2 linked regions of the Caenorhabditis elegans genome follow. The protein of the gene in region 1 purifies or fractionates together with the protein of each later gene. This does not show direct contact. Each region holds a gene or a part of one and is shown in the gene's direction. Other genes may lie near its edges.

Region 1 (6,180 bases):
TTTCAAAAATGATTAGCATTTTGCTTGATTGTAATCACGTGCCCATTTTGTTTGACATCTGGAAGACAACGAAAAATGTGGTGCTAAATTTTCGGCGTCTCAAGCATTTTGTAGTGCATTTCTTTAAAAGAATATATAAATTTCAATATGTTAAACTAAAAATAGGCTTTTATTACTTGCGATTTAAATAAACTTCGAATGTCGCAAGAGTAATTGAATTTTCAGTAATATGACTACGAGCCATACTCCTGAACCAAAAGAAGTAGAAGACTATCAGGAAGACGGAGAAATACTGGACGATGATGATGATGTACCAACGGAAATTCCAAATATAACTTCTGAATGTTAGTTTCAAGTTTGATATCAATTTAAACAAAAACAATTTTCAGTTTTGGTGAATTATCCCTCATCGGAAGACGAAAAATCTCCTGAAGACGTTATCAAAGCCTACAAGAGGAAAATTGAAAATCAAAAGAATGTGGAAAACGAGGAATCTGTAATCCCCGCTATTGATCCAAAATTATGTAAAGTTTGTTTGAAAAACGAGCACAAGTACAAATGCCCAAGATGTGAAATGCGGACATGTTCACTGGATTGTTCAAAGAAGCACAAAGCGGATAATAATGTAAAGTTGTTCACGTTTGAAAAAAGCAATTTTATTTGACTATTCAGTGTGATGGAGTACGGCAAGCGTTTACCAAGGTAGATAAATTGTCTCAATATGATCCACAAAAGTCAATTGATGATCAGAAATTCATGCACCTGATGAAAGAGAAAGTTGGGTTAGGAGCTGAACCAGTTGGTGGTGTCGGTAATGATGTGAATAGTTCGGATGGAGAAGAGAAACCAGTTGATCCGAATGCACTTCGATATACAGTAAGTAGTAGTATCTGTCAGCTTCATAAATATCGAAATTTAGACCAACTCTCCCACCGAGAGATATCTTCTCAACGCGGCTCGATTCCGTCATATTTGGTTAGGATTTGTTGGCGAACAAGAAAATGAGAGCAGACACGAGCAACATTCTGATACTATTTTTTGGACTTTGAAACTATCATTCAAAAAACAAACCGCGGACGGAGGTATAGAAGTATTCGAAAAGATAGTTAACAATATTCCTGAAACAATTCGAGTAGCAACAGTTTTGAAGCAATTCTTCAAACCCCGCCAATATGGATGCATTGTCTCTGAAAGCGACCTCGACGTTGAGAAGCTCAAGCCGTTTATTGATCGCGGAATTGACGATGTCAACGTTTATATGGAAGTTCACGCAAATCCAGAACGATACTACGGAATTATTACTGATAGCACCATTCTTGAAATGACAAGAACTCGAGTCGTTGCAGATTTTCCAAAATTAGTAATTACTATGAAGGACGAATTTATTGAAAGTATGCAGTTATTGTCTATGGAAGAACTTGCTGAGATTCAAACCAAATACGGAGGTGTAGGAAATCAAAGATTCGGAGGCGGCGGTAGAGGACGTGGTGGTAGAGGCTTTCATCGCGGAGGCGCCAATCGAGGTGGAGGAGGCTCGAATCATAATATCTTCAGAGTTAGTGGTTCAATATTTATTCAGATTCAAAATAAATGATTTCAGAAAAGACCAGGACAAGATGGAGGTCAAGACGGTGGTTTCAAGCGTGGACGCGGCGGAAATTTCCACGGAGGAAGCCGAAGAGGTGGATATCAGAACCGCACCCATCAGAATATCGATACCTTCGACCCATTCGAGCCCTTCTCCGGACCAAATCGACTTCCTATGGAGTACAATTGATTTGTTTTTTTTGTTGAAATATTTGGTACATTTTGTTGAATTTTATTCGTTTTTATCCATTTTTTGTACAACGTTGTTACACTTGTTATTTCTACATTTTTCAATTTTTTTTTTATAAAACATGAATGTTAGAGTTAATGGTCGAAATTCAAATTTTCATCGCGTACCGATCGCTTCTTTTTATTTTAAAACAGATCACAAACTTCTTTTTCATAGTATTATTGCTTGAAGAAACATGGATCCAAATCAACCATCAACTTCCGATTTCTTAATAGAGGAAGAAGAAGAGTACGGTAATATTTTAGAACAAGGTTCTGATGTTCCTGAAGTAGAAGAATACGATTTTGATGATGATGATGATACAAATGGAATTATTGCTGGAATTGATACAAAACCTCATCTTACTGGATTACACAATGGGTCCGGGAATAGAAAAAGAGTAGAAGAGCCAGCTGAAGCCATTGATGATGAAGAATTAGTGAACGCTATCAATAGATTCATGAGAAATGAATATGACTATGATCAATTTATGCGGGTTACTGGAGGACAAACTCTCAAGGAAGAGTTAGGAGCAAAGCAAAAAAGATCGGCAAGAAACAATGTGGTCGACGAAGTCGAAGAAATTGATACTGCAGATGATGATGAAGAAGAGGACGATGAAGATGTAGAGTTAATGGAAGACGTTGAAGAAGTGTCAACTTCTCAACATGCTGGAAGTTCATACTCTTTTCAGTCTGCAGGACCTTCTGATCGCTACGACGCTCTTCCCGAAGAAGCTCGATATATTATGACACAGGTTTGCATTGTTAGACTATCGATATTACTAGAATGAGAAAGGTTACAGATGATGTCTGGTAAAGATGAAGGACAGGTAAACCATTCCGATGAAATGGAAGTTGAATATGAAGTAGAAACTGAAGAAAGAGAACCTCCTCCTCTGAAACAAGTAAAAATAGAAGGCCAGAAAGCAGATTCTACAAGTACAGAAACTCCAGCCACAAATGCAGAACCTCGAGATCGAGGAAAATTGAAAAGATTGGATGCTATGTTGGGTCAGGCAAACGTGTTAGCTGCTCGTGGAAATATCACCGATGCCATGGAAATTCTTCGAGAAGTAATTAAACAGGATCATAAACATGCGATTGCTTATCAACAGATAGCCACTGTATATGAACAGTTAGGAGATCATCAAAAAGCTCTTCAATTTGGTTTACTGGCATCGCATCTAGATCCGAAGACTCCACCAGATGACTGGGTACATTGGGGAGATGAAGCTGAAAAATTCGGAATGATTGAAGAAGCTGCCGTTTGTTACGATAGAGCTATTCATCTCAATAATGAGAATTGGAAGTTTTACGAAAAAAGAATTGAAATGCTTGATCGGCTGAACCTACGACCTCTCGCAATGCGTACTCGTCTACAAGCTGCTCAATTGATCAACAATGAAATTTTACAAGTGGATTTTGAGTGGTTTCATGATTTGATTCGCAAAGTCGCTCAGTACTACATTACAATGAATGATGAAGAGAAAGCAATTCAATCTCTCGAAGCATTTGTTCTCCGGAGTAAAGAATTCGAACGAGATGCAGAACCACAACATGAAACTCTCATTGGAATGTATTTAGCAAAGAGCAAATTCCGACAAGCTGGAATGTCAATTCTGGCAATGTGCAATGGTGTCAAAGCAATTCGTTCTACAACAAAGGATCCCGCATGCCTTGTAAGTTGTTCATAAAGTCTATCACTGTGTTGTTTATAATAATTTATAAAATTATTTCAGATAACTTACACAAATGGAACATATGAATGTTTGCCTTTTCCACCTGTCGGAAGCGATATCGATTATGATATTGATGTCAATCTGTTTCCAGTCAGTATGCACTGCCATCTCGTCATTTGTCTCTTCAGTTTGGATGAAGTCGAACAGTCTTCCGTGTTGGAACATAAATTATTGAAAAGAAATTTCAATGTAGAAGAAGATGAAGGATTTATTCTAGATGTGCCAAGGCTTTACAAGAACAGAGGACATCCGAAACTTGCAATGGTGAGAAATATTATGTAATAACAAAATACAGTTTTTTTTAGAACTTCCTGGATCAATTGACCAAAAATCCTTGTTACAACAACGAAGCATCTGGTGCTTACTGGTATCTGAAAGGAAGTCTTGAAATGATGCAGAAGCATGATGATCTAGCAATGGAAGCATTCAATAAAGTTCTGATACTACAACCGGATCATATTGATAATCGTATCCATTTGTCAACTCTCCAGCAAAAATCTGGGTTTTTCGAAAAAGCCCTCGAAACCTTGGAAAATTATGACCTGGAAAACTGCTCATCGATGCCAGATGAACGTCTTCTTGCTCGTCGAGCAGACGTTTTATTCGAAGCAGGAGATTCTGAGCAGTTTGTAAGGATCACGAGAATGATGCTGGCTCCCCACTTCTACAAAGTCTATATTTCTCCAGATATTTTGAAGAAACGACGGGTTACCAAAGGAAAAACGACTAGTAAGTGAAATAACATTTTAATTGTCTTCAATACGAATTTCCAGCACCTGCTCTCAGTAATACTTTGAAAACTTGTGCTTTTGGAGTTGTTAAACATACAAATTGGGAACGCCTTGTCAAAAGGCTGGGAGCAACTGTAGAAGCCAATGGGACTTTTCAAACATCGCTTTCGGGAACAGATGTAATCATTATTCGAGCATACATTTGATTGTGTAAATTTTTAATTTTCAGATACATGACTACTGTTTGAAGTTAATCGAATGTTTAAATAAAATGGAGAAACATCAAGACGCACTCATTGTCTGTTGTTATGCATTTTTACATCCAACTCTTTTCAAAGCCGACAAGTGAGCTAATTTGTTCAAAATTTTCCACACATTACAAAATTTTCAGAATCTCCACTTTCCAGAATTTAGTATATTTTTGTGCAATCAAAGCAAGATGTTGGAATTTGGCATTTGAATATGTTAGATTCTTTCACACTTTTTCTTTGGTAACAATTTGTATCTTATTGGACGCATTTAAGTAATTTAAATTTCCAGGCAGTCAGCGATCCTCAAAATGGCTCATTCTCTGACGTTCTCCAAAAACGCCTTTTCAATGCAATGAACTACGTATTCGTCAACTCTCAGAATGTCTGCTACCATCGATTTATCATGAGAGCACTCGTCAAAGCTAAAGATAATCATGCTCTTCAAGCGATTTCAGGCAATAATTCACTTATCACGGGAACATACCGACATGCAATGGGAGAGTATCTTCGAGTATGGGTAGCCAATAAACGAAATCCACTCATCTGTATGCTGCTTGCTCTCACTTTCACTCATATGTCTTGTAAGAAGGATCTCTCAAGTAGACACCTCATCGGAATCCGAGGAATTGCTTTTATGAAGAAGTATTCAAAAGCACGGGCTTGCCAACAAGAAGTCTTTTATAACATTGCCAGAATGTTCCATCAAATGTCGATTCTCCCTCTCGCCAAACATTTTTATGATAAAGTATTGGAGGTTGATCCGCCGTGTGTGTTTGATTTTGATGAAGATGGCAATGAGGTTATTATTCCAGCAATGAAGTAAGACAATTTTAAAAATAAATTAGAAATTTCTGTCTGTAGAAATACTATTAAAATTTCAGATATGACCTGAGAAAGATGGCTGCTCACAACCTGGCTTTAATCTACCGAACATCAGGAAACAATTTCGCCGCTAGGAAAATTTATGAAAAATATCTTGTTGTTTGATTTTTTGTTGAAGAATAATTTTTGTTAATCTATCCAATGTCTGACATTGTGTGGTCTAATTTATAAGTAGCAATCCCATCGTACTTTTTTAAACAATTACTTATAAATTTTCTTTTTTATTATTTTTATTTCATTATATTTGGTTCTGAGAATATAGTTCAAGCTTCCATTCAATATCTGCTGATACTGATGCCGTATAAAAGGAAAATGTTTAATATTTACAGTATGTTCATTCTTTCTCTACTGCACGATACGGTGGCTATTCAGCCTCATCAATTGAGCTCTGATCAGCAAATTGTTATCAAAAAACGGCTCAATGAACGTCTCGCCAACAAAATTATTCCGGATCTTGGTCTCTGTATTTGTGTCTATGATATAAATGAAATTGGTGATTCGTACATTTTACCCGGCGAAGGAGATTGTAGAGCGAGAGTTAAGGTAATAAATCAATGTACAGTCGTATTTGAGAAATGAAATAAATCTTCAGTTCCGTATGATCGTTTTTCGGCCATTTGTCGATGAAGTTATTGAGGCCAAAGTGATTGGTTCATCACGACAAGGTCTTTGTCTAACAATTCAATTCTTCGAAGACATTTTTGTACCGGCGGAAAAGCTTCCAGAACCTCATGTTTTCGAAGAAGAAGGGCAAGTTTG
Region 2 (5,033 bases), on another chromosome or scaffold:
GGCTTCCCTTGAAATGGAAGAGTTTTTGCCGAACTAGGCCGTTTTGGCTCGGCCATATCTGGGGTAGATTTACGGCGCGTTGCGTGTCGCGTCGCGGCTCGATTTTAGTTGTAAAACTAAATGTATTTGTCCGTGTGGAGTACACGACTTTCCCAGTCCGGCAGGCGATTGTCAATGGAGCGCGAAAAATTCAATGAGGAAGGCAATAACCCCGTAGTACTCTAATTAAGTGTCCCGTTTTTACGAAATTTTTATAAAAATTGGTTTTTTTTGTTTTTAGAGAAAATTATGAATATATTTTCTTGTTTTTCTAATCAACAAAAGCGAAATTTAATGTAAAATTACACGGGGTTCTGGCCTTCCTCGTTGAATTTTTCGCGCTCCATTGACAATCGCCCGCCGGACTGGGAAAGTCGTGTACTCCACGCGGACAAATACATTTAGTTTTACAACTAAAACCGAGCCGCGACGCGCCGTAAATCTACTCCAGATATGGCCGAACCAAAATGGCCTAGTTCGGCAAAAACTCTTCCATTTCAAATTATGAGTCCCCATCATGCCTAAGAACCCTCTATTTAGGTTACTGACACATCTGAAACCGGTGCTACAGTACCCTGCGTGGTGGGACCCGAAAATTTGAAATTTGGCAGAAAATGGGCAAGATGGGAGTCATTTTGAAGCTGAGAATGAGGAGAATGTGAATTTTAGAGTAATTTAGAGAAAAAAGTGAAATTGGGGAAAAAAAAACAATTTTTTTGGAAATTTTTTCATTTCAAAAATGTTCTTTAAATTGTCGTTAAATTCGAATTTCTCGATTTTCAGCTGTAAAATGACCCCCATCATGCCTGGGAATGCTTCAATTTCACACATTTCCCCATTGACACAGCTGAAACCGGTGCCACAGTACCCCGCGTGGTGGAAAAAAAACCCGAAACTTTCAAAAGAAATCCCTGATTTGTTTTACACTGAAAAATTGTTGAATTATCACGGGAACACAAAATTCAGAGAATGCGTATTGCGCAACAAATTTGACGCGCAAAATTATTAATATCTCGTAGCGAAAACTACAGTAATTTAAAGAATTTAAAGAATTACTGTAGTTTTCGCTGCGAGATATTTTGCGCGCCAAATATGTTGCGCAATACGGGCTCTCTGAATTCTGTGTTCCAGTAATTTTTACTTATAATTATTTTCCATAGACCAGTAAAACATTTACTGATTAAAAAAGCTCTCGACACAACTGTCACTAAATAATTCATTTTTTTAAAAGAAATTTAATGTTTTTTAGTGTTCAAATCATCCAATTTGTGATTTATTATCTGCTCCATGAGTTCCTGAGACCGATCTACCATCTGGCGGTGTACTTCTAACCGGAAAAGTCGATAATGTGGATGCTACGACACGCTCCCGAATTTATGTCTTTTTTTTCGTTTTTCTTTAAAAATAATACTCAATTTTCTTGAAACATTTTCATCGAAAATGTTTTTTTTTTCAATTTTTTTGTAAGTTTTTCATTTTCCCACTCAATTTGTACTGAATTCGATTCAATTCCAGCGGAAATTAATTTAAATTCAGCTCTTGGCAATGTGCCAAGAAGCTGGTGGCCTAGAACTCGAAATACTGGCCTAGGATTCATGCGGGATTTCGGAGTGTCGTTGCACCGATTTTTTCAAAATTAATTTTCGTTTTGCCGCGAAAAACGAGAATTATTTGGTTTTTAAAACGTTTTTTAACGATATTTTTCGATTATTTTCATATTTTTCAGGGTTTAAACTGGAAAATGTGGTTAATGTAAACTGGTTAATGTTGTAAATCCTTGAAAAAACCTAAACCAGTAATTTTCTCAATTTTTAATTCAATTCAGGATGCTACAGTTTACGGAGATCCTCGGAAGAGTTGATCATCAAGGATTCGCACAATTGCTTGCTAATCCGATTTTCCAAACCAACCGTGTCGGCCAAGAGGTTTGTAAATAATGTTTAAAATGTTAAAAACACCGAAAAATTCCCTTTTTCCAGAACTCGCAGCAATTCACAGTCCGAAATGGCGTCGAGCAGGAGCTTTGCGGTATTTTAGGCGGTTCAGAAGGCGACTGGACACGTCAGACGCACTCAGTTCAGAAGCAGATGATGTTTGGGGAGCGTGGCATCGAACTTCCGAGCCGCCAGCCGAAAAGTCACACCGCCGAGGATACTCTCACTGATGAAGGTGTCGTGGACGTGCCTGAAGCTGTAATGGATGATATTGACGAGGAAGAAGTACTTAATCACGGCCTCCTTGAGTGTTCATAATTATTGGAGCGAGCTCGCGTGGCACCTCACGAACTCCAGAATTTGCGGGAGTTCGTTCCGCGGGAACAGCAGTTTTTTGTTATTTTTGGCTTCTATAGGAAATATTTTTGATTTTTTGTTTTATAATATTCTTGAGAAACATCATCCGAATTGAAAATGTGTAAAATTATGAAATTGGCCGAAAACTGGAAGTTTTACAGAAGAAAGCCACTATAGTTTTTGAAAAAATGTATCAGGATCGCCAGTTTTGCGATTTATGCGTCGTAAAATATGTCATTTTGTAGAGAATTAAAAGTTTCATAAAAATTTTCGTTTGAAATTTTAATTCGTTAATTTCTAATAAAAAAATATTCAAAAAATCAACAATTTTACGTTAAAATCTTATTTCTTCAATTTTTAAGTTTTCAATAAAAACAATTTTAAATTTTCAAACAAAAATTCTTATGAAACTTTTAATTCTCTACAAAATGACATATTTTACGACACATAAATCGCAAAACTGGTCCTGATACATTTTTTTAAAAACTGTAGTGGCTTCCTTCTGTAAAACTTTCAGTTTTCGGCCAAATTTTATAATTTTACACATTTTCAATTCGGATGATGCTTCTCAAGAATATTATAAAACAAAAAATCAAAGATATTTCCTATAGAAGTCAAAAATAAAAAAAACTGCTGTTCCCGCGGAACGTGTTCCCGCGAATTCTGGAGTTCGTGAGGTGCCGCGCGAGCGCGCTCTAATAATTATGAACACTCCAGGTGGCCGTGATTAATTAATAATTTATCATGAAAACAACGTTTTAATCTTTAAATTTTCCAGCTCGACGAGGACATTTCTCGTGTTAAAGTGGAGACGGATCGAGCATTCTTCAACCACATGCTTCTTTCGAGACCTGCCGCAGTTCCCATGAATCCAGCACAGGCTATGGAACGAGATGTTCGTTAAAATCCCTTGCGCGGCACACCTCACGAACTCCAGAATTCGAGGGAATTCGTTTCGCGCGCACTTCTATAGATATTATTTTCTATTTTTTTGATTTATAATGTTGTTGAGAAGCATTTTTCCGAATTGAAAATGTTTAAAATTATGAAATTTGACCAAAAACTGACGGTTTTACAGAAGGCTTTCTTTAAAATGTATCAGAACCGTCAGTTTTTTGATTTCAAAGTCGTAAAATATTTAATTTTGTAGATAAAAGTCTGTTTCACAAAAATCCACGTTTGAAAATTTAAAATTGAAAATTGTTTTTATTAAAAACTGAAAAGTCTAGAAAAAATAAGATTTTAACGTAAAATTGTTGTTTTTTTGAGTATTTTTATATTAAATTAAAGGTGGAGCACCAAAAATTTAGACTTTGCTTTTTTGGACCCAAAATGTTCCAAAACTACCAAATTTCGTAATGAGACGTTCTGAAAATTTCTCAACAAAAAAAAGTTACGACCGCTCAAAGTTTTGGAAGAAATGGTCTATTTTCAGCTAAAATCTCAAATTTGTCAGCTTTTCAGTGCTGCATCGGTTGGTACTCAATTTTTATTTGACTAGCACTCTTTAATACATATTATGGTAGTTTATTACGCGTTTTTTCGTTGATTTGAGCCCATTTTGGGTTGATGGGTGCACAAAATTGTATTATATTTGTGCACCCATCGACCGAAAATGGGCTTAAATCAACGAATAAACGCGTAATAAACTACCATAATATGTATTAAAGAGTGCTAATCAAATAAAATTAAGTTCCAACCGCTGCAACACTGAAAAGCTGCTAATATTTGAGATTTTAGCTAAAAATCTACCATTTTTTCCAAAACTTTGAACGGACATAACTTTTTTGTTGAGAAATTTTCAGAACGCCTCACCACGAAATTCGGTAGTTTTGGAACATTTTAGGTCTAAAAAAGCAAAGTCTCAAATTTCGGTACTCCACCTTTAATTTCTAATATAAAAATATTCAAAAAATCAACAATTTTACTTTAAAATCGTTTTTTTTTATAAAAGATTTTCAGTTTTTAATAAAAACAATTTTAAATTTTCAAACGTCGATTTTTGTAAAATACTCTTTTCTCTCTACAAAATGACATATTTTACGACTACGAAATCGAAAAACTGACGGTTCTGATAGATTTTGAAGTAAAACCTTCAGTTTTCGGTCAAATTTCATAATTTTACACATTTTCAATTCGTATGATGCTTCTCAACAATATTATAAATCAAAAAATTCAAAAAAGAATTTCTATAGAAGCCGGAAATAGCCAAAAACTGCTGTCCCCGCGCGAATCGAATTCCCGCGAATTCTGGAGTTCGTGAGGTGTCGTGCTCGAATAATTATGAACACTCCGGGAGACCATGGAAAACAGGGGGTTCTGGCCTTCCTCATAGAATTTTTCGCGCTCCATTGACAATCGCCTTGGGAAAGTCGTGTACTCCACACGGACAAATACATTTAGTTTTACAACAAAAATCGAGCCGCGACGCGACACGCAACGCACCGTAAATCTACCCCCAGATATGACCTGGCCTAGTTCGGCAAAAACTCTTCCATTTCAATTTATGAGCGGAACCAGAGTTCCGTGCTCGTTTATAATGATTTTTATGCCGAAACACGGAATTCTAGCTTCCCTCATATATTGAAATGGAAGAGTTTTTGCCGAACTAGGTCAGGCCATATCTGGCGTAGATTTACGGTGCGTTGCGTGTCGCGTCGCGGCTCGTTGTAAAACGAAATGTATTTGTCCGTGTGGAGTACA

The links.
Region 2: the proteins of tftc-3 (region 1) and npp-13 purify together in Caenorhabditis elegans (affinity purification with western blotting, with the first as the bait; one study listed by BioGRID). This does not show direct contact.

The regions. Positions count from the first base shown.
Region 1 is NC_003283.11:10,206,173-10,212,352, reverse strand, and holds tftc-3 (TPR_REGION domain-containing protein), read left to right. Parts: upstream 1-2,008; 5' UTR 2,009-2,012; coding exon 2,013-2,573; intron 2,574-2,621; coding exon 2,622-3,497; intron 3,498-3,557; coding exon 3,558-3,821; intron 3,822-3,862; coding exon 3,863-4,286; intron 4,287-4,330; coding exon 4,331-4,467; intron 4,468-4,517; coding exon 4,518-4,633; intron 4,634-4,679; coding exon 4,680-4,779; intron 4,780-4,828; coding exon 4,829-5,358; intron 5,359-5,420; coding exon 5,421-5,526; 3' UTR 5,527-5,637; downstream 5,638-6,180. Other genes in the region: zhit-3 (Box C/D snoRNA protein 1), read left to right, coding at 230-344, 390-625, 673-876, 920-1,555, 1,601-1,777; rpc-25 (DNA-directed RNA polymerase III subunit RPC8), read left to right, coding at 5,752-5,964, 6,014-6,180.
Region 2 is NC_003279.8:2,095,482-2,100,514, forward strand, and holds the start of npp-13 (Nuclear pore protein), read left to right. Parts: upstream 1-1,864; 5' UTR 1,865-1,865; coding exon 1,866-1,964; intron 1,965-2,018; coding exon 2,019-2,258; intron 2,259-3,108; coding exon 3,109-3,225; intron 3,226-5,033.